Macaca mulatta: one gene and its partners. The protein of the gene in region 1 purifies or fractionates together with the protein of each later gene. This does not show direct contact. Links are inferred from orthologs where the notes say so. Each region holds a gene or a part of one and is shown in the gene's direction. Other genes may lie near its edges.

What was found. The genes of interacting proteins can lie anywhere in the genome.
Region 2: the proteins of RNGTT (region 1) and SUPT5H purify together in Homo sapiens (affinity purification with mass spectrometry; 3 studies listed by BioGRID and IntAct, with this or other methods). This does not show direct contact. The link is inferred for Macaca mulatta from reciprocal best matches to the Homo sapiens genes RNGTT and SUPT5H.
Region 3: the proteins of RNGTT (region 1) and PPP4R3A purify together in Homo sapiens (affinity purification with mass spectrometry; 3 studies listed by BioGRID and IntAct, with this or other methods). This does not show direct contact. The link is inferred for Macaca mulatta from reciprocal best matches to the Homo sapiens genes RNGTT and PPP4R3A.

What each region holds. Positions count from the first base shown.
Region 1 is NC_133409.1:97,010,154-97,018,027, forward strand, and holds the start of RNGTT (mRNA-capping enzyme), read left to right. Parts: upstream 1-3,944; 5' UTR 3,945-4,154; coding exon 4,155-4,218; intron 4,219-7,874.
Region 2 is NC_133424.1:50,546,258-50,553,912, forward strand, and holds the start of SUPT5H (transcription elongation factor SPT5), read left to right. Parts: upstream 1-2,436; 5' UTR 2,437-2,681; coding exon 2,682-2,756; intron 2,757-7,655. UniProt on the Homo sapiens protein: Component of the DRB sensitivity-inducing factor complex (DSIF complex), which regulates mRNA processing and transcription elongation by RNA polymerase II.
Region 3 is NC_133412.1:164,756,060-164,763,732, reverse strand, and holds the start of PPP4R3A (serine/threonine-protein phosphatase 4 regulatory subunit 3A), read left to right. Parts: upstream 1-2,454; 5' UTR 2,455-2,938; exon of another isoform or gene 2,939-3,308; 5' UTR 3,309-3,365; coding exon 3,366-3,507; intron 3,508-7,673. UniProt on the Homo sapiens protein: Regulatory subunit of serine/threonine-protein phosphatase 4. May regulate the activity of PPP4C at centrosomal microtubule organizing centers.

The sequences.
Region 1 (7,874 bases):
CCCTGAGCCCAATCCTAAGCCAACCAGGTTAAGGTTTGGGAAATTAACCTTTCCAGTTTGGAGGATGCATCTGATGGGAGTGTCCGGTATGACGTAGATGCATACCGGACACCTCCCGGTGAAGAGAGGACAGAGGAGGAGAGAGGAAAAAAGATGGAGCTTTTTAAAGGAGTCTCAGGGGTTCAGATGCATTTGAAAGAGGTATAGACTGAAGATGAATGGCTACCCATCTAAAAGAAGGAGAGCAGGAATCCCTGGTTCCCTTCTCTTCCTAGCAGATACCCCAGGTATGTGAGGGAGAGAGGGAAGAATGTTCTCTTTTCCTCTTCTGTGTTTGCATCCCTGAGTCCCAGCAACCTTGTCAGGTGCTGCTGTGGGTGCCAAAGCGGCTTGCACCCATGAAGCAGGGAGGGCCTAGAAGATAGGAATTATCTGATTTTACCAATGTTTCTATCCCACCTACTGTCAGTGATCTGGAGTTCCCTAGACTTTATTTCCAATGTGCCAGGATTACAGGTGTGAGCCACCGTGGCAGGCCTTTGAGCTCTTTTTATAGACATCATGTATACAACACATATGTAGCTACACAGGCAGAAGAAAACCAGTCCCAACAAGATCATTTTTCACAACCAAACTTTACAGAGAATATAAACAGGGATCCTTATCATTCCTAGCCTAATGAAAAAGAAAAAAAATCTGGTTTAAAAGTTAACTGATGGCCGGGCGCGGTGGCTCAAGCCTGTAATCCCAGTACTTTGGGAGGCCGAGATGGGCGGATCACGAGGTCAAGAGATCGAGACCATCCTGGCTAACACGGTGAAACCCTGTCTCTACTAAAAAATACAAAAAAAAAAAAACAACTAGCCAGGCGAGGTGGCGGGCGCCTGTAGTCCCAGCTACTCGGGAGGCTGAGGCAGAATGGCGTGAACCCGGGAGGTGGAGCTTGCAGTGAGCTGAGATCTGGCCACTGCACTCCAGCCTGGGCCACAGAGTGAGACTCCGTCTCAAAAAAAGAAAAAAAAAAAAAAAGTTAACTGCTGATGGGGTGAAGAAAAAAGGATGCCTGGGGGAAGAACCTCTTATTCTTATGCAAATGGTTCCTCTACCAGGGAGAGAAGCTTAATTACTGTCAGCCTTGGCCAGGAAAGGGGAAGATGCTGTGGACATGTGGCATTCTCCAGCCCCAGCTGGGAGGAGAGAAGGAGCTTGGAGCCACGGCTTGCCTGTCCTTCCCAAAAAATGAAGGCAAAGGCCACGGAAAGGCCCTTGACCCCGGGGAGGGTTGGGGGTGGGGGCACGGTTTCCCTACCCTCAGAAGTCCATGCATGAAAAGGCTTAGAAATGACAGAGAAGTTTTGAGTCCCCATGTCACTCACCACTTCTCAAGTCCCACATTGGGTGCCAAAGCTGTTGTAGGACTTTCTCCTTAGTTCAGCTAAGAGCTGGGTCCTTGCAACACGGCCATGAAATACTAGGCTTGCAGATGCCTTGAAGGGTGAGAATGGAATTTATTGGGCAAAAAGAAAAAAAGGGAAACAGAGACTCTCCCCAAAGCCAGAGTGCTTCCTGCCTGGGAGACTGAATCCCAGGTTCCACCAGGAAAACGAGGGGCCAGGTTCCTCCCCACTGCGAATGGCACAAATTTCCCAAGGTTCACCCCAGTGTGCATTCCTCCCAGTGCACAGGTCAGTAGGAGATTCTGCCAGGGAACCCTTCCCACCTGGCTGTCTTACCAGCACTTTGGCAGGCTGACGTTGGAGGACTGCTTGAGCCCAGGAATTTGAGATGAAAAAAGTATAAAAAAGTTAGTGGGGTGTGGTGGCCTGCACCTGTAGTCCCAGCTCCTTGGGGGCTGAGGCGAGAGGACTGCTTGAGCTTGAGGGGTTGAGGCTGCAGTGAAGCTGCCCGGATCATGCCCACTGCACTCCAGCCTGGGTGAGACAGTGAGACCCTGTCTGCAAAAACAAAAGATTTATCTACATAGCAAAGTGAAGAGGAAGGATTAATAAATACAAGTGTTTCTCAAGGAAATGTCTTAGGAAAAGGGAAGACAGATAAGATCTCTCTCTTTTGCCAAAAGAGAACGTTCAATCTTATTTTTTACATGTATACACTCTTCCTTAGGGGCAAAATGGATGTTTGATGAAAGATTCACCAACGACGAGAATCTACATCTGATAAAGAGGAGACGAAGACATATCTGAGAGTGTGAGTCAGGGGTTCCAGGAAGCGGGGGAGGAATCACGTTGGTCCATCTGTGTCTATTTTTCTTCTCACAGAGAAGAAAGAGACTTGGGCCTAGGAGCAATATGGCAGAAACACACATCAGGCAAGTCATTCCTGACAGGCAGAGAGAAACTGCCTACTCATCGGGATGCCACTCTCTTATTCTACTCTCTATTGTGGGCAAAAGGTAGCCCCAGGGTCCTCCCAATTCTGTGGCACTGAGTATGGAGAGGGCATAACTGGATAGCTGAGTAAAAATCCAGTGCACATTGCTGCCTTACAGCCAATAATAGTTGCTCACCAGTGGTATGAAGCCTCTGTGTGCCTAGAACTGAGCTACTGGGTAGATACAGTGTGTGTGGGAAGGGGAGTCTCCAAGGGGAGTCATCCCCAGAAGGGGAAGGTAAGATACTCTTCCAGGATCAGGCTCACCTTTCCCATCCTTGAAGGGGGCTGGGGATGGAAGGTTTTATTTTTTTACCATTTTGGGCATGGTACACACTCTATCAGCAGAAAAGGGAATTAATAGGAGATTATTTGGGTAGACTGATGGCCTTAAAACAAACTGGGTATTATCTTGTTCTGTCAGGGGAGGAGTTGACACTTTCACTAACAGTTCTGAGCAGACGCAACAGCAGGACAGACCAGAAGTGTGACCTAACTCAGGCTGCCTCAGAGAGATGGCTGTCAGACTGTCTCTACTGATGGGACTCTTACTGAGGGGGTCCAGGCATTCAAGGGGTTGAGTTTCCCAGAAAGTTCCCCATCGAAGCTTTAAAAATGTATTCCCTGCAGCCTTATGCTCTTGCAGTTCCAATACAGCATTGGTGTTTAAAGCCAAACTACTTTATAATTGATTTGCCATCATCCAGCTTTATATTTAACACTAATTTAATCTGGTAACAAAGGAAAGGCTCGTTAAAGGACGGCATTCATAAAATGCTTCCAAGCACCTCTGCTTAACTCGAAGGGAAAATAAAAGGGACTGTTTATTTGGTAGGCAGAGGAGAACACCGCCACGAAACGGTTCTCCACTGAGCAACTCCTGCCTTTGTCAATTATACACATTATTTAGTAACTTTTTTGGAGACATGGACCTTCTCAAACTCCCCAGTATGCTTTGAAACTTTGATAAAGAAATGTACAAACAAAACTCTAAGTGTTCTGGAATTAATTTCAGACGCTTCATAGATCCTCGTAAGTACTCACCGTAAGAAAAATTCCCCATTTCTGGTACTCCAATCTCACGCCCTTAGAATTCTCCTAAGACTTATTCCCTTGAACAACTTTCCCTAATACCAAATCAAACCTAGATCCAGCTGGGACGCCAAGCTTGCGCTGTGGTAACGCTCAGAAGGCCTCCTTCATCAGTAAAACAGATGCCTTAATGGAAGTGACGGGCAATCAACGCATGGAAAGGGGCTTGGCTTCCCTCTTTTTTGGGTTTCTCTAGGTTGTCTAGATTGGAAAAAAATACACGCTTCGTCCTGCGGAGTTCGGTACAAACGCAATTGCACATATGCAAAGGCAAACCAGGAGCGCAAGTGCGCGTCCGGGGACCGCGACCGGGAGGGGCGGGGCCGAGCGGGGCGAGAGACGGACCGCTCCTCCCATTCGTCGCCGCCTTAACTCTTTGCTATCCTTCCGCAGAGCTTCCTCTTCTTTCCCTCTGACCTCGGAAAGAAGGGGGCGGGGCCTTCGGGGGCGGAAGTTGCAGTGCATTGTGGGTTCGCCTGGAGCGGTGGAGTTGATCCTGAATGAAAGTGGCGCGCTGCCCCTGACGTTACCCGGATTTGAGCGGCTGGAATTCGGATTACTGCTGCGATTCGGGTGTCTCGGACCCCGGTGCGCACCGGACCACGGGGAGGCGGCTGCAAAGGCGCGGCGAACGTTGGTGAGGGAGGGCAGCTCTGCGCAGCCCCCAAGACATGGCTCACAACAAGATCCCGCCGCGGTGGCTGAACTGTCCCCGGCGCGGCCAGCCGGTGGCAGGTAACCTGGACTGGGGGGTATTCGAATCCCCACACTCCAGCGTGCCCGGGGGTGGGCCGACTGAGGAGCTCAGCTTTTGGTGGTTCTGTGCCCGTTAGTGGTATTTCAGGAGTGGGATATGCTCCATCTGATTACGCTTCGTGGACGAATGTTTGGGAACATGAACGGGAGGGGATGGTCGGCGGATGGGGGGCACTTGTCACTATTCCTGCCAGGCTAACTGTGCGAATGTGAAGGTAGACAGTAGGTTGGTGGCAGGAGGTGAGGATCCAGGAATACAGTGGGCGTACTTTGAGTCTTAGTAGTTTGTGAACCTTTTAGGGTTCAACCTTCCCCTCGAATTAGAAGGGATGAGTGTCAGTCTTGAGATGGAGGAGGATAAGGAGGGAAGGGGCGGTTCCCAGCGGTGAAATGGGGTCACATTGAGACTGGGAATCTGGAGGGTGTTTTTGTTAGTTTTTTGTTTTTATTTTTTTTTGTGAAACAGGGTCTCTCGCTGAGGCTGGCGATCCTCCCACCTCAGCCTCCCAAGTAGCCGGGACTACAGGCTCCTGCCATCGCACCCGGCTACTTTTTTTGTTTATTTAATATATATATACACATTTATAATATATATATTTGAGACATAGTCTCTCTCTGCCGCCCGGGCTGGAATGCAGTGGCGTGATCTCGGCTCCCTGCCTTAGCCTTCCAAGTAGGTGGGATTACAGGTGCGTGCCACAACACCTGGCTAATTTTTGTGTTTTTAGTAGAGACGGGGTTTCACCATGTTGGCCAGGCCGGTCTCCAACTCCTGTCCTCAAGTGATCCGCCCGCCTCGGCTTCCCAAAGTGCTGGGATTACAGCCGTGAGCCAGCACGCCCAGCCATAATTTTTTTGTTTATTTCTTGTGGAGACAGTTTCACTATGTTGCCGAGGCTGCTCTTGAACTCGTGGACTCAAGCGATGCTCCCACTTCGGCCTCCCAAAGTGTTGGGATTATAGGCGAGAGCCACCCTGCTTGGTCTGGTTTTTGTTTCTTTAAATCATTTTTCTTGTAGTTTTTTTATCTTTATTGAGCTTGAATACAATAGGCTTTAAAGTGTACAGTTTGATAAATTTTGACTATATATACACAAATACATCTCTTTCCTAGGAAACAACCATGAAACCATCACCCCTCAAAGTTTCCTCCTGTCCCTTTTTAAATCTCTTTGCCTGGCAACTGCTGATCTGCTTTCTGTAATTATAGTTTGCATTTTCTAGAAATTTTTAAATAATTGGAAACATATAGTGAGTACTCTGCTTGGGGTGGAAGGAAGTGTGTGTGGCTTTTTTCACTAAGCATAATTATTTTGATACTCATCCAGATTATGCATGTATCAATAGTTTATTCCTTTTTTATTGCAGTGTAGTAGTCCATTGTTCTGGGTATACCACAATTTGTTTACCTCTTCATCTATTGATGGTCATTTGGGTTGTTTCCAGTTTTTAGCTATTACAAATAAACCTGCTGTGAACATTTATGTACAAGTCATTGTATGGACATATACTTTCATTCCTTTTGTGTAAATCTCTAGGAGAGGAATGGCTGCATCATATAATAGGTGTATGTTTTAAGAATTTTAAGAAACTGCCAACCTGTTTTCCAAAGCGGTAACACTTGATAGCCCCACCATCAATGTATTATACAGAATAAATTCAAAGGACTTAAAAACTCGCAAAAAATTTGGACACTTCACAAAATAAGATATATGAATAGCCAAAAAGCTATGATGGCGTGGTGGTGTGTGCCTGTAATCCCAGCTACTCGGGAGACTGAGGCAGGGGAATCACTTGAACCCGGGAGGCGGTGGTTGCAGTGAGCCGAGACTGCACCACTGCACTCCAGCCTGGGTGACAGAGTGAAACTCCATCTCAAAAAAAAGTAATTTGTACTTAATCGTGTAATTTATTAGTAAGGGTTCTCTACAGGGACAGAACTAATAGGATATATATATACACACACACGTAAAGGGGAGTTTATTAACTATTAACTCACACAATCACAAGGTCCCACAATAGGTTGTCAGCAAACTGAGGAGCAAGGAGAGCCAGTCTGAGTCCCAAAACTGAAGAACTTGGAATCCAGTGTTTGAGGGCAGGAAGCATCCTGTACAGGACAAAGATGTAGGCTGGGAGGCTAGGCCAGTCAAGTCTTTTCACATTTTTTTTCTGCCTGCTTTATATTCTAGCTGTGCTGACAGCTGATTAGATAGTGCCCACCCAGATTAAGGGTGGGTTTGCCTTTCCCAGCCCACTGACTCAAATGTTAATCTCCTTTGGCAACGCCCCCTACACCCAGAATCAATACTTTGCATCCTTCAATTCAATCAAGTTGACACTCAGTATTAACCATCACAGTAATTTCTTTGATATTTTGCATATTGAGGAAAATGTTATGGCAGTTCAAACTTATATGTTGCAAATATTAGGATTCACTTTACTAGTACTAGAAGTTCATAATTTTCCTGAATCAGAAAGAAAATGGTACTAACTACATATAATATGTTCTCCTGTGAAGTCACCTTCTCTAATGAAACCAGACTTGCAATGAGAGAGAGCTCTTGGAGACAGGGCCAAGCTTTATTTTCTGGAGAATTGTTTTTTCCTCCTTCTGAGTTAATAGATTTCAGGTGAATACTTGGAAGAAAACAAACTTATAATTTCTTTCCCTTTTTCCTTTTTTTTCCTTTTTTTTTTGAGACAGGGTCTTGCTCTGTCACCCAGGCTGGAGTGCAGTGGCGAGATCTTGGTTCATTGCAACCTTTTCCTCCCAGGTTCAGGCTATTCTTCTGCCTCAGTCTCCTGAGTAGCTGGGACTACAGCTGTGCACCACCGTGCCCAGCTAATTTTTGTATTTTTAGTAGAGATGGGGTTTCACCATGTTGGCCACGCTGGTCTCCAACTGCTGACCTCAGGTGATCCACCTGCCTCGGCCTCCCAAAGTGTTGGCATTACAGGCATGAGCTACCGCACCCAGCCCTCCCTAGTTTCTTAAAGGTATATCATTCAACATAAAATTATTTCATACCTGCTATGTAAAGAGCTTACTAGGAACTGTGGGAATGTAAATATGAGACACAGCCAGGTGCATTGGCACATACTTGTGGTCCCAGGTACTGGGGATAGTGTGATGGTGATAGTGATGGTGATTTTGAAGTCATTTTATTTAGCAGATATTTAAATGTCTACTTTGTGCTAGTCCTGGGTGCTAGGGAGATGGCTAAGATATATTACCCTTAAAAAGCATAGTCTCATGGGAGTAGCAAACCATCCATTTTAAGCACAGTTCTGTTGTAAAAAATGTAGCAAAGACTATTGTAGTATACGATGGGAATCAGAGGTAATAAACCTAATTCCCTGAGGTTGAGGAAGAAGAGATGGGAAGGAAGGAGATCAGGTGAGACTTCCCAGAGGAGGTCGTACATGAATTATCTTGAGTAAATAGAAGTTTTCTAGATAAATAGTTGGCAGGGGGTGTTTTTGGAAAGTTTCTGTTAGGATAGGATGATGTAGGATGATGATGGGAGAGATAATAGACTGAAAAAGTGTTTTTGTTCTGGAAGATATAAGTGAGGTTATGAGGTTGGAGAATAGCCTGATCATAAGGCAAGTAGGGTGTGATAAGGTATCTT
Region 2 (7,655 bases), on another chromosome or scaffold:
TCCGCCCGTCTCGGCCTCCCAAAGTGCTGGGATTACAGGCTTGAGCCACCGCGCCCAGCCTTTTTTTTTTTTTATTTTTTTGAGATGGAGTCTTGCTCTGTTGCCCAGGCTGGAGCCATCTTTGTTCACGGCAACCTCCACCTACCGGGTTCAAGAGATTCTCCTGCCTCAGCCTCCTGAGTAGCTGGGATTACAGGTGTGTGCCACCACACCACCTGGCTACTATTTGTATTTTTTTAGTAGAGACAGGGTTTTACCATGTTGGCCAGGCTGGTCTTGAACTCCTGACCTCAGGTGATCGGCCTGCCTTGGTCTCCCAAAGTGCTGGGATTACAGGCGTGAGCCACCGGGCCTGGCCGAGAATCCTATTTTCAAGAACTGCTATTTAAAAGAACCAAGCTTAAGGAAGAGGAAACACCTTTCTATAGAGTGCTCAGCCCCTCCCCAATCTATCTGGTACTCAATTTGGTTTTGCTGGATTGGGGTGTGTGTGCTTTTGGGGAGAAACACGCACCTGCAGGTATATTCACTGCCTGCTTCCATCATAACTGCACCCCAATCCCCAGTAACTAAGTAGGTATATATTAAGCTTAGGTAAATTGAATCCAGGTGTGTCATACTTATGTGAGAAATTTTACCAGTATGTCCTGAGGCTTCTATTTTTTTTTTTTTTTTTTTGAGACAGAGTCTTGCTTTGTCACCCAGGCTGGAGTGCAGTGGCACAGTCTCAGCTCACTATAACCTCCACCTCCCTGGTTCAAGCAATTCCCCTGCCTCAGCCTCCTGAGTAGTTAGAATTACAGGCGCATGCCACCACGCACGGCTTTTTTGTATTTTTAGTAGAGACGGAGTTTCACCATGTTGGCCGGACTGGTTTTGAACTCTTGACCTCAGGCAATCCGCCCGCCTCGGCCTCCCAACATGCTGAGATTACAGGCATGAGCCACCGCGCCCGACATAGGCTTCTGATTTTTAAAATTTCCTCTATCAGGTTAATTTTTTAATATTTGTTTTAATTTTTTTTTTTTTTTTTTTTTTTTTTTAAGAGACAGGGTCTCTATCACCCAGTCTGGAGTGCAGTGGTGCAGTCATAGCTCACTGAAGGCTCAACCTGGGTTCAAGTGATCCTCCTACCTTAGCCTTTGGAGTAGCAGGGACCACAGGTACAAGCCACCACACCACATTAAAAAAAAAACCCACACAAAAATTGGATACATGGGGTCTCAATTTGTTGCCCAGGCTGGTCTCAAATTCCTGGCTTCACGTGATCCTCCCGCCTCAGCCTCCCAAAGCGCTGGGATTACAGGGGAAGGTTCATTTTTCATCTCTCCATTACACCTGTCCACTCTGCCACCACTCGTCAGCTGTTATTACTAATAGATAAATTAGGCTTTAAATGAACTTAGGAAGCCTGGAAAGAGAAATAGGGACTTAGGCCGGGCGCGGCAGGTCACGCCTGTGATCTCAGCACTTTGGAAGGACTTGGCCAGAGGATAGCTTTTGAGTTTGAGTTTGAGGAGTTTGAGATCAGGCCGGGCAACAGCCCGACTCCACAAAAAAAAAAAAAAAAGAAAAGAAAAGAAAAACAAGGGCTTTCACGGTCAGTCAGACTTGGCGAGGACGCTTGGGTCTGACGCTTTCCACCGAGTTTATTTTTCTGAGCTTCAGCGTTCTCTCCAACATGGGGATACGTATCTCCTGGGGATGCTTTAGAGGGCCTAGGAGATTAAGCCTGGTTTCTTTTTTTTTTTTTGTTGAGAGAGAGTCTCGCTTTGTCGCCCAGGCTGGAGTGCAGTGGCCGGATCTCAGCTCACTGCAAGCTCCGCCTCCCGGGTTCACGCCATTCTCCCGCCTCAGCCTCCCGAGTAGCTGGGACTACAGGCGCCCGCCACCTCGCCCGGCTAGGTTTTTGTATTTTTTAGTAGAGACGGGGTTTCACCGTGTTAGCCAGGATGGTCTCGATCTCCTGACCTTGTGATCCGCCCGTCTCGGCCTCCCAAAGTGCTGGGATTACAGGCTTGAGCCACCGCGCCCGGCCCAAGCCTGGTTTCTTTAATAGTTTGCTATTCGCTGATTCCCGGCCTCCTCGCGGCTTGGCCTACCGCGCTCGTGTTCTGGACTAACGAACAAACGGCTCACTCAATTCAAACACGAGTCCCAGCCTGGAAAAGGCCGAGTCGGCGGTTAAAAAAAAAACCTTTCCCCTCCCGACCCTCCGCAGATGTCGCCCCCTCACTCCGCCTAGGCTAGCCCTGCCTCTCTCAAGATGGCGACCTGGAAGTGCGTCGCCTGGGCCAGCCCCGGAAATCTCGTGTTAGGCGAGGCCAACGGATAGGTTCTCGCGAGAGGACCCGTCAGCCCCAGCCGGGCGTCGTGCGAACAGCAGCTGGTACCAAAGGCGGAGGTGGAGCCCGAGCGGTAAGTGCGTGTGCAGAGGTGGCAGTTCCGGGGGCCGCCGGAGGCCGAGGAGGTGTAGAGAACAGATTTGGAAACTGGGGAGGTCTAGCATGTGGCGTAGGAGGGGGTCCGCACTCCAGTTCGCAATTGCCAAAACAAGCCTGCCGGAAGCGCGCTAAGGGGTTTTCTTCTCACAGGGAACCAGCGGGGAAACTGAGGCTTGGGGTGGCGAGCAGGACTGTGGGACGCGCTGAGGCTGCTGTCTTTCCCAGCAGCAGCGGAAGATGTCGGACAGCGAGGACAGCAACTTTTCCGAGGAGGAGGACAGCGAGCGCAGCAGTGACGGCGAGGAGGCCGAGGTCTGTGGCTGGGGCGCCGGGGGAGACATTGCACCTGGGGGCAGGACTCCGGGTAGAAAGCCCACTGTGGGAGGCTCGAGGGGTTCACAGCGGACTCTGGCTTCTGGGAACTCCCAGATTATCGCAAGAGATAGAGAATTAGGCAAGTCGAAGACAAGTAAGGGGACAGGTTCTGGAGGCGAGAAATGTGTTAGGTCCAGTGAGATAACAGGTGATGTTTTTGAAGTTTACTCTGTGTGCATATAGTAAGCACTCAGCATTAGTTGTTTTTTTTTTTTGGTTACGTCTAGTCATTCCAGAAATTTATTTGTAGTGCCCACTACGTACCAGGTGCAATTCTTTGTCTTTGGGGTACACCAGTAAACAAAGCAGATTTTAAAAATGTCTGCCTTCGGGAATGTAAATAAATATAGCCAAGGAATGGACTATATAGTAAGCTAGAAGGTACTCTGGAGAAAAGGAGAACAGAAAAGGGGAATGGAGAGTCCTGGTTGCACTTGCAATAGGGTCATCAGCGTGACTTGTTGGAGGTGAGGGAGTGAGTCGTGGTTAGCTGGAAGTGGAGTATTCCAGTGAGGGGGACCAGCAGGTACAAAGATGGAAGTGTGTCTGCCGTGTTCAAGGATTAACGAGGATTTGAGAGGCCAAGCTGGGAGGTTCACTTGAGCCCAGAAGTTCGAGGGCAATCTCGGCAACATAGTGGGGCCCTGTCTCTACAAAAATATAAAAAAATTAGCTGAGGCCGGTCTTGGTGGCTCACACCTGTAATCTCAGCACTTTGGGAGACCAAGGCAGTGGATCACATGAGGTCAGGAGTTCAAGACCAGTCTGGCCAACATGGTGAAACCCTGTCTCTACTAAAAATACAAAAAAATTAGCTGGGTTTGGTGCCGCCCACCTGTAATCCCAGCTGCTCAGGAGGCTGAGGCTGAGAATCGCTTGAACCAGGGAGATGGAGATTGTGGTGAGCTGAGATCGCGCCACTGCACTGCTGCCTGGGCGACAGAGCAAGACTCTGTCTTACAAAAATATTAGCTGAGCTTGGTGGCACGCTCCTGTAGTCCCAGTTACTTGGGAGGCCGAGGTGGGAAGATCACTTGAGCCATAAGGTGAAGGTGCAGTGAGCTGTGATGGTACCACTGCACTGCAGCCTGAGTGACAGAGTGAGACTTTGTCTCCCCACCACTGCCTAAAAAAAGGGGGTCCAGTTTGGTTGGATCAGAGTGAGTGCAACGAAGAATTTATGGGAGCCAGGTCATATAGGATCTTGAAAGCTGTGGTAAGGAATTTGGTTTTAACTGAGTAAAATGAAACCTCGAAAAAGTGTGAGCAAGTGAAGATATGATCTAATGTTTTGAAAGGATCACTCTGGCTTTGGGTCTCTTGAGTACCTCTGTTCCGGGAACCAAAAAACCAACATTTCCTGGGGCATTTCTGATTTCAAATGTTCTTTTATTTGCCATTATTCTTTTTTTTTTTTTTTTGAGACAGCATCTCCATAGGTTGGCACAGGCTGGAGTGCATTGTCATGATCTCGGCCCACTGCAACCTCAGCCTCCCGAGTAGCTGGGATTACAGGCATCCACCACCACATCAGGCTAATTTTTGTATTTTTAGTAGAAATGAGGTTTCCCCATGTTGGCCAGGCTGGTTTTGAACTCCTGACCTCAGGTGATCCACCCTCCTTGGCCTCCCAGAGTGCTAGATTACAGGCGTGAGCCACTGCACCAAGCCCAGTATCCTCCTTTTAAACTTATTTTAGTTTTATTCGTTCGTTGAACAAATCAGTATTTCCATCTACTACTGTGTTCCACTTACTTCCCAGGTGTCTGGTAGGAAATCTTTACTTTTTTGGAGTTGACATTTAGTAGGCAGCAATCATAAACTAGTAAATAGGTGACAGGGTGATTATAGATCTCTTGTTTGATGCACAGAAACTTCAATTGGCTTTTTAAATAAGTTGCCAATGCTTGTGAGGGAGATTTATCATAAAGATTAAGATTTCTTGCTTTTTCTGGGAAAGTGGAAGGAGCTGGCACGCTGGGACCCAGGGTTGTTCTGCAGAGCAGCCGTTTGCTTGATGAGTGGCTGTCCTACTTACAGCTGGGAATTTTCTCCAGTTCCCAGGATATGTTAGTTGCCATTTATCATCTTGCTTGTCTCGTGGCAGAGTGAAGAAAAGGAAGAGATTTCACGTGGCTGTGTTCTGGAAATTGTTTGGTAGATGGAGAGTGCCATGTGTTTTGGGTGATTTGTCCCACTCATTTATGTTGCCTGCTTATCCTATGTGGACATTTGATTGCCAGTCTTTGTTGTGCCCTTTGGGGAGGTGCCTGGTAGTGAATAGTTGGAGAAATTGGGATGCTGTGGTGGGGGAGGGATGAGTGGGGGAGTGACAGGGAGGGCCTTTTCTCTAAGCTGTAGCACTGGATTCTTGGTCTCTGATTCATGGCTTGGAGACACTGCTTGTTGGTTAAAGTCTGGTGGAAATGAGACCAAGATCCCCAGTTCCATTTCCTGTCTGGGACATTCTCGTTTGCGCTGTACTAGTCTAATTTCCCCAGCACTACACCATACTTGACTCCTCCCTGCTGGCTCCTCTTCAGTTACCAGGTGAGGCAGGAGGGCAGTGTGAGGCCTGTCCCCACCACCAGGAACAGGATTGGATGACCTTTTCAGACAGCCAAATGGTGACATAGTCCTTGCAGGACAGGGTTCTGTGGCTAGACAGGTAGGGATGGATGGCAAATAATGAGCTACTTTTGAAGGGAGCTGCTGGTTCACCCATCACAGCTACAGTAACTTGTTCATTTATTTCAACAAATGTTCCTTGACTTGTCATGTTGGGGTCATAGCCTCCCTTACGGAGATCTCAGTCTCAGGGCAGAGAGAGTTTTATAGATACACAGTTACTGCAGGGGATGTTGAGGACAGTAAGAGCACATCCAAGCCCTGAGGTGATGCAGAGAGTGGCGGGGACTCTCTCCACTGGGAGGGAGGAGCCAGGTTTGTAAAGAGGCTTCTCTGGGACCTGGCAGAGGGGGACTGATGACAAGGTTCCTAGAAATCAGCCTGTGGTCCTGTCATAGTTTGGGTTGTTAAAACGCGCTTCATTGTGGGCTAGTCAAGATTATGTGTTAAGCAAATATTTCTGAAGTCTTCTGTGCTTGGCCCTGGGCTGGGTGATGTTGGGGGACCCAGCGGTGCCTGAGATGAACTGGACCCTACTATTGGGAGGCTCACGGTGGTCAGGGCTGTGATGGAGGGAGCACAGAGAATTGTGAGCGTAGAGGATGTGCCTGACTCTGCTCGGGGGAGAGGGGGCGGGGGTGGCTGCCTGCAGGAGGAAGGTTGGTTTTTTTTTTTTTTTTTGAGATGATGTCTTGCTCTGTCACCCAGGCTGGAGTGCAGTGGCGTGATCTCGGCTCACTGCAGCCTCTACCTCATGGTTAAGCAATTCTCCTCTCTCAGCTTCCTGAGTAGCTGGGATTACAGGGGTATGCCACCACACCTGGCTAATTTTTATATTTTTGGTAGAGATGGAGTTTCACCATGTTGGCCAAGCTGGTCTTGGAACTCCTGACCTCAAGTGATTGCCTGCCTCAGCTTCCCAAAGTGCTGGGATTATAGGCATGAGCCATCTTGCTCAGCCCTTTTTTTTTTTTTTTTTTTTTGGGACAGGGTCTCACTTTGCACCCATGCTGGGGTGCAGTGGTATGGTCTCGACTCACTGCAACCTCAACCTCCTGAGGAACAAGCAATCCTCCTACTTCAGCCTCCCAATGAGCTGGGACAACAAGAATCTGCCACCATGCCTGGTTAAGTTTTGTATTTTTGGTAGAGACAGGGCTTTGTCAGATTGTCCAGGCTGGTCTCAAACTCCTGGGCTCAAGTGATCCTCCTACCTTGGCCTCCCAAAGTGTTGGGATTACAGGTGTGAGCCACCATGCCCAGCTAGGGAGGGAATATTTTAGTTGAAGTATTAATGGGGGGCACACTTTTTTTTTTTTTTGGAGATGAAGTCTCGCTCTGTCTCCCACGCTGGAGTGTAGTGGCACAGTCTTGGCTCACTGCAACCTCTGCCTTCCGGGTTTAAGTGATTCTCCTGCCTCAGCCTCCTGAGTAGCTGGGATTACAGGCACGTGCCACTGCACCCAGCCCCAGAGGAGACTTTTTATACAAAGAACCAGCATGGATGATGGCCAGCACTGAGAGAGCATGGTGCAAGTAGTTGAGTGCAGCTGAGGCCTGGTGATGGGGAGGCAGTCCTGAAGGGTGGGAAATGGGGAGAGGCAGCAGGCAGAGCATGTGCTTCTAGTCCAGGCTGGCTGAAGCTGGGCAGGGGACCAAATGGTCAGGTTCATGTTGTTGGTGGTGGTGGTGGTGTTCTTGAGATGGAGTCTTGCTCTGTCGCCCAGGCTGGAGTGCAGTGGCGCGATCTCGGCTCACTGCAAGCTCCGCCTCCTGGGTTCACGCCATTCTTCTGCTTCGGCCTCCCAAGTAGCTGGGACTACAGGAGCCCGCCACCATGCCTGGCTAATTTTTTTGTATTTTTAGTAGAGACGGGTTTCATCGTGTTAGCCAGGTTGGTCTCAATCTCCTGACGTCGTGATCCGCCCGCCTTGGCCTCCCAAAGTGCTGGGATTACAGGCTTGAGCCACCGCGCCTGGCAGGTTCATGTTTTAGATCATAGTTTTCCAAGACTGTACCGTATATTCTAGGTTGGGGATGATGAGAGGTGCTTTTAGGTGGAATAAAGACAAGACCTTAAGCTACATTGAATAATTTAGTGAGAATATTTCCTTTTCAGTTGTGTGTCTTGTCTTGATTGGGTTATGAGAAAATTTCATTTTAGTGCTTCTGGGTCTTGAACGCCTCTGGGTGGGAGAATAGGCCTTA
Region 3 (7,673 bases), on another chromosome or scaffold:
TTTTTTTTTTTTTTTTTGAGACAGAGTTTTACTCTTGTTGCCCAGGCTGGAGTGCAATGGCGTGATCTTGGCTCACCACAACCTCTGCCTCCCGGGTTCAAGCAATTCTCCTGCCTCAACCTCCTGAGTAGCTGGCATTACAGGCTCGTGCCACTGCGCCCTGCTAATTTTTGTATGTTTAATAGAGACGGGGTTTTCACCATGTTGGCCAGGCTGGTCTCGAACTCCTGACCTCGTGATCCGTCAGCCTCGGATTCCCAAAGTGCTGGGATTACAACTGTGAGTCACCACGCCCTGTTTATATCTTTATATTTTAAGTTGCTGGGGAGGAAGGTCCCAACTTCTAAAGGAATTTAAAACTGAAAGTCCTGTATCCTAGAAACCCCTCAGCCCTGTTCATGCTATTAGCTTCCTTCCTAATAGATGGGTATAGTAACACCAATACTTTACAGGTTTCTTTTTTTCTTTTCTTTTTTTTTAAAGACAGAGTCTTGCTCTGACACCCAGGCTAGAGTGCAGTGGCACAATCTCGGCTCACTGCACTCTCCGCCTCCCCAGGTTCAGGCGATTCTTGTACCTCAGAGTCAAGGAGCTGGGACCATGCCTGGCTAATTTTTGTATTTTTAGTAGAAACAGGGTTTTGCTATGTTGGCCAGGCTGATCTCGAACTCCTGGCCTCAAGCAATCTGCCTGCCCTGGCCTCCCAAGGTGCTGGGATTACAGGTGGGAGCCACCGCGCCCAGCCACATTGCAGGTTTAAAAGATTCCTGGCAATGTCAAGCACTCGAATCTTCCAAAACTGTAGCCACTAGACACATGTGGCTACCGGGCCTTCAAATTTTGACTAGTGCTACTCACAAGCTGAATTTTTTTACTTGATTTTTAAATTTAAATTATTATTTTATTTTTTGAGACAGAGTCTTGCTCTGTTGCCCAGGCTGGAGTGCAGTGGCACAATCTCAGCTTACTGCAACCTCTGCCTCCCGGGTTCAAGAGATCCTCCTGCCTCAGCGTCCCAAGTAGCTGGGACTACAGGCACGCACCACCATGACCGGCTAATTAGTATTTTTTTGTACAGATGGGGTTTCACTATGTCAGCCAGGCTGGTCTTGAACTCCTGACCTCGTGAGCGACCGCGCCCAGCTAAATTTAAAAATTGACACTTGATTCAGCTTTTGGAAAAGTTAAGTATGATTGGAATAACAGAATATGTGAATCTACATTCTCAACTGTAAATTTAATATACTCTACCAGTCCGGGCAACAGTGAAACCCGTCTCTACCGAAAAAAAAAAATAAACTTAATTAATTAACTGGGAGTGGTGGTATACACCTGTGGTCCCAGCTACTTGGGAAGCTGAGGTGGGAGAATCGCTTGAGCCCACGAGGTTGAAGCGGCAATGAGCCGAGACTGAGCCACTGCACTCCAGGGTGGGTGACAAGAGAGAGATCCTGTCTCAAAAACAATTTTTTTTCCAATAAAATCTAAACACAGATATTTCTGATGAAAATTCAGTATCCCAACAGAGACTTGCTGGAAGGACAAAATATATCACATTTTAAAGACATCGTAAGGTTAATAAGGAACGTATATCTTTAATAATTTGATTACTGAAATAACATTTTGAAAATACCGCACTGAAACGTTAACACTAATTTCATCAGTTTCTTCGTGCTTTTTGTGGCTACCGCAAAGTTTAAAGTTATGTGTGTGGCTCGCATTATATTCCTAGCGGACAAGCCCGACCTACCAGGCCTAGCAAATGGTAAAAGCCACCAAAATAGTGGCACATGAGCTGCATGATAGGAAACAGAATGTTATTCCTCTGTGAAGATTAGCAATACTTGACATCAAGTAGCTCTTCAAAGCACAGGACTACCTAATGCTGAGAATTACTCCTCCCGATTTTGCAGTGTCGCATTTGTTTTTGTGAGCGCCTTAAGTTCCTTTCCGACAAGGCTCGCAGACAGTTCTGATGGGGATGAAGGAATGGAGCACTTGGGACTTGCCTAGGCTGTAAGGTGAAGTTTTAGAATTGTCACTTCGGACTCGGTCCCACGCCCAGAAAACGCAAACAGTCCCAAGTTTCCACACTGGCCACGCCAGTCCGCGACCCATGGCGGCTCCCAAGGCTGCGCCAACCTAGCCGCCCACACCCGCGACCTTCCCCGGAAGCGTTTCCATTTCATTCCTTCAAGTCCGCAAGGGGCCGGGTGGGTCCCGAGCGCCCGACTCAGCCGCAAAGGCGGCCCCGGGAAAACGCTCTCGGAAGCGGGTAGGGGCCCGGGCCCACGCCGCCCGGCGTCCGCAGGCCAGGGACAGGGGAAGGAACAAGAGAAGGCGGCGGCAGGCGGACCCGAGGCCGAGACGCCGGGGCCCGCTCGCAGAGGCCGCAGACGGATCCACGCCCCTCGCGCATCCTGGAGCGGGGCTGATGACGAACACAGAGCGCGACGGACGCACACACCGCCCCGCGCTCGCACGACGGTGCGTGCAGGGAGGCGCGAGGGAGCCTCGGGCTGTCACCGGCGCAGTCAGCGTCCCGCCTCCTCCGCTCCCTGCGCTCCCGCCACCTCGGCAACTCCGCGCCCGCCTCCCGCCTCCGTCGGAAGCCTCCGCCGCAGTAAGGCTCCCGGTCTCGCTGCTGTCTCTTTAAATGGTGGGGCTCCGAGCCGCCCCTGCAGCTGCTCCCTGGGTGGCCCCGCGCGCCGCTTTTGAGGGGCGAACCAAGATGGCGGCGGTTTTGGCTGTGTGAGGAAGACGGAAGAGGCGGCGGCGGAGGGAAACCGACTTCCACTAGCCCGGGGCGGTCGGGCGGCCGGGGGCTTCAGAGTCTCCCAGGCAGTGGTAGCATTTGCAGAAGGATCAGGCGCCTGTCGGCTTCTGACGTTTGAAGCAGGGAGCGGAAGGGAGCCACTGGCCGCGGTGGCAGGGCCAGGTATAAGGAAGGAAAATATGGCGGCGGCGGCAGCGGCCTGAGGAGGCGGCGGCGGCGCGGGAAGCTGCTTCGCGGAGATCATGGCGGAGGCGGGAGCAGGGCAGTGACGGGAGCCCCGAGTTCCTAGCGCTGCGGGGCGGGAGGCTACGAAGCGCTGCGCGGCCCCCTCGGGGCTGCCGGGCGCCGGGCTCGCCGGGCCTGGACAATAGCGCCGGGGAGCCGGAGGCGAGGAAAGGCGGCGGCCCAGAACTCGGTCCCGGGAGCGGGCCATGCAGGCGGCGGCGCGGCCCCGCGGCGCCCAGCGGCGGCAGTGAGGCCGGGGAGCCCTCCGCTCGCGGGCGCCCTCACGCCTCGCCCCTCGCCTCTCCAGGACCCCTTTCCTGGGCGTCTACTGGCGGGGCCCCCGCCCCGGTTCCCGGGCGGCACGATGACCGACACCCGGCGGCGGGTGAAGGTGTACACGCTCAACGAGGACCGGCAGTGGGACGACCGGGGCACCGGGCATGTGTCGTCTGGCTACGTGGAGCGGCTGAAGGGCATGTCCCTGCTTGTCAGGGCTGAGAGCGACGGTAAGTGAAGCCCCTCGTGGCGGGCCCTTCGCAGCCCCCACGGCCCTGGGCCGCCTCCCTGGTTCTTGCGGGGCATGGCGCTCGCTCCACGAGAACGGAGGGACGGCTGGCCACGGCAGCCACCCCGGGGGAGGGCGGGCCCCAGGTACCCCAGTCCTGCGGGAGCTCCCCGGAGAGCGCCTGAAATGTTTCCTTTCTCTGAGTGCCTGGTGGCATTTTGGGTACGAAGAGAGCCAAGCGTGTTGAGCTGTGCCGCCCTGGAGTGTGTGAGGTCGAGGACCTGAGATGGGGAGTCCGGAGTGTACTGTTCTTTTGCACTAGAGTGACCTTGAGAAAGACACTGATTAATCCGATCTTCTGCCTTAGTTCACCCATCTGTAAAGCAGGCATGAAACTTTGCTTGGAGCTAAGAAAGTTCTTGGACCTTTCATACTTTGAAGAACATTTTGCTGTGATTTCTTTCTTTTTCTTTTTAAACGTCTTTTTGCTACATGTTTCTGATCCCGTTGGAGGTTGGCAACACTGGATCTGGCAACTCTACGCTAAGAGAAAACGCTTTACCTTGAGAAGATAGAGATTTTTGTTCACCAGTGTTGGTTGTCTTTTTTATAGTAATGCAGAATTTTGTGTGTAGCTCGCTATATAAACATCTTGCAAGTTTGGAATAATTTTATATGAGCTTTTTTTTTTTGATTGCTTAAATGGGTGTTCATAATTTCGTTAACAGGTGCAGAGAAGTTGGCAGATAATTTTTAAAACCTTTCGGATCTTCCCTAGTGTTTATGCTTCACACATTTTGAAACAACCCTCAAGGTTCAAAGACTAAGTTGTTTGAAAATAAGTGTTTCCCTTTTTTTCTTTTTTCCACATCTTCTGAGTGTTTCATATTTTAGAAGACTTATTCTCTCTAGGGATTGCCACTGTTTTTGGAGATATACAGTGAATTTCACTTAAAATATTCAAGTGGGGTAAAACTGTTGTCAAATTGTTACTTCCAAACGTGAAAGTAAGTTCTCTTCCACCTCTTTTGGTACATTGGTTTATATTTTACAGTTGCTAACGAGGTCAGTTTATTATGATTGTAGTGATTCTGTGTCTGAATTATTACAGACTAATTTCAAGGAATTTTCTTCAGTTGGACTCTACCCAGAATTCCAATTCCATAAAAAACCAACAAGACTAGCCCTTCTGTAGTTGAAGACTTTGGGAACATTGATGTTCTATTTAAATTGAAAGTGGTAATCTGGAGTATATTGCCCACAGGTTATAAGGTTACCCGAAATGACTTAAATCTGGAGAGAAATTATTTCCTTTTGGGGGCATTTAAAATTTTTTGAATGTTGGGTGTATTTTTCTGGGCCTGAGTTATTATTGGCTACTTAAAATACAATTTGAATGTCAAGTGTTAGTGTAATTTTGTATGTGACTCACGTAATAACCTACTCTAGATCTTTCACACATTTGGCAAACTTTACATAGTATGTTAGAAGGTATGGGCTTTTAGTAGATTTATCTGTAGGTTTCTTCTTAATTTTTTACTTTCAAAAAAATAAAAATAAAGACAGGATTTTGTCCTATTGCCAAGGCTGATCTGGAACGCCTGACCTCACGCAATCCACCCACCTAGTCCTCCCGGAGTGTTAGGACTACGGGCGTGAGCCACCATCCCAGCTGAAAGCATGTGTAGATTTGAGATCAATTCTTTGAACTCCATGTTAAAAATAATACATATAACCTTCACATCATGGGTTTAATTTGATTCATTATACAAAAAATCCTTTAAGATATTTTTAAGCATAAAAGGTTAATGTCATACTATCAGAAATATGCTCTTCTGCATAATTCTATGTTAATATAATTGTATGTTAATATAAAACTTTTTTCTGTGTGTGTATATATAATATAATACATAGTACATGTAGTATATGGCACATATATAGTATATATTATGTAGTACATATAGCGTATGGTACTTATATAGTATATATAATATGTAGTACATACAGTATATAGTACATATATAGTATATATAATATATACATATACATATATATATTTTTTTTTTTTGAGATGGAGTTTCGCTCTTGTCGCCCAGGCTGGAGTGTAATGGCATGATCTCGGCTCACTGCAACCTCCACTTCCTGGGTTCAGGCAATTCTCCTACCTTAGCTCCTTAGTATCTGGGACTACAGGCATGTGCCACTATGCCTGGCTAATTTTTTTGTATTTTTAGTAGAGATGGGGTTTCACCGTTTTGGCCAGTCTGATCTCGAACTCCTTACCTCGGGTGATCTGCCCACCTCGGCCTCCCAAAGTGCTAGGATTACAGGCGTGAGCCACTGTGCCCAACCTCCATTTATATTTTTACCGTTTTGGAAATAGCCACAAATCTCTCTTCCTCCATTTCGCAGGTTGGAGGTTAAATGACTACAACAAAATGACTTTAGTCTTTATCTAGCAGGGAGATAGCTTAACTCAATTACTGATGTGCCTTGTAAGTTTAGGCTGTAAGGAAAACTGAATCCAAAAAGGCTGGGTGCGGTGGCTCACGCCTACAATCCCAGCACTTTGGGAGGCCGAGGCAGACAGATTTCGTGGGCTCGGGAGTTCGAGACCAGCCTGGGCAACATGACAAAACCCCATCTCTACAAAATGTACAAACGTTAGCTTGTGCGGTGGCAGGGTCCTGTAATCCTAGCTGCTCTGGAGGCTGATGTGAGAGGATCACTTGAGCCCAGGAGGTGGAGGCTGCAGTGAGTTATGATCATGCCCCTGCACTGGGTGACAGAGGGAGACCCTGTCATACACACACACGCACACACACACGCACCCTGGACTTAGAAAAAATTCCAGGATACTTGTGAGATATTGTCAGTAATTAGTTTGATGATTAACATTTCTTCCAACATCTAAGTAGGGATAAGTCAAAATTTACTGAGTACCTTCTGTGTGCCAAACTCTAAGCAATTTACTTACATTGACTTACATAATTCTCACAACAGTGCTCTGATTTAGTTAGTGCTGTTAGCCCTATTAAACCCCCATGTTACTGTCTACTTGCATTTGCTGCTCTATTAGCCTGAAGTTGTATTTTAAAGAAAATGAAAATAACTTTCAGCCTAAAGATATTTTCGGCTGGGCACGGTGGCTTATGCCTGTAATCTCAGCACTTAGGGAGGCCGAGGCGGGCAGATCACAAGGTCAGGAGATCAAGAGCATCCTGGCTAATACAGTGAAACCCCATCTCTACTAAAAACATACAAAAAATTAGCCAGGTGTGGTGGTGGGCGCCCATAGTCCCAGCTGCTCAGGAGGCTGAGGCAGGAAAATGACATGAACCCAGGAGGCGGAGCTTGCAGTGAACTGAGATCAGCGCCACTGCACTCCAGCCTGAGCAACAGAGCAAGACTGATTCTCAAATAAAAATCTCAATTGTAGTTTATCTACAAGCTTTACATGAATGTTTTTGTGTTGACTGCTAGTTGGGGTCAGCCATTACTGTGTGCTTGCTCCATTCTCCATCATAGGATGATTGATATTTTCTTTTTATTGTCATGAGCAAAGTGGAAAGTATTTCTGATTTTCCATAAACTGAGTCATTTGTCCAATAGAAACTTAAAATTATTGTGCTTTTCCGTATTTGGGCTAGACCTAATCATGGTTGTGTTGAAGTTTTTTTTTCTAAATTACTTGTAGCTTTTCCCAAAAAAAAATCTGTTGATTTTCAGATTATTTCTTTAAAACAAAACAAATACTTGATTCTTAACACTTTTGCAATATTTTATGTTCTATAAAATTAAGTTTTTGTGATGTGTTAATCATCTACCTTAGAAATAGGCTGTCAGCTAATTTGGTGAGAAACTGGTCAGTGCTAGAGATAGGGTGATGGGGCTTTTGCATATCTGTGAAATAAATGATGGATTTTTTTTGTTTGTTTTTGTTTTTTTAACAGAATCTCTGTCGCCCTGGCTGGAGTGCAGTGGCATGATCTCGGCTCATTGCAACCTCCACCTTCCAGGTTCAAGGGATTCTCATGCTTCAAGCCTCAAGCCTGGGATTACAGGCATCCGCCATCCTGCATGGCTAATTTTTGTGTTTTTAGTAGAGACGGGGTTTCACCGTGTTGGCCAGGCTGGTCTCGAACTCCTGACCTCAGATGATTCCCC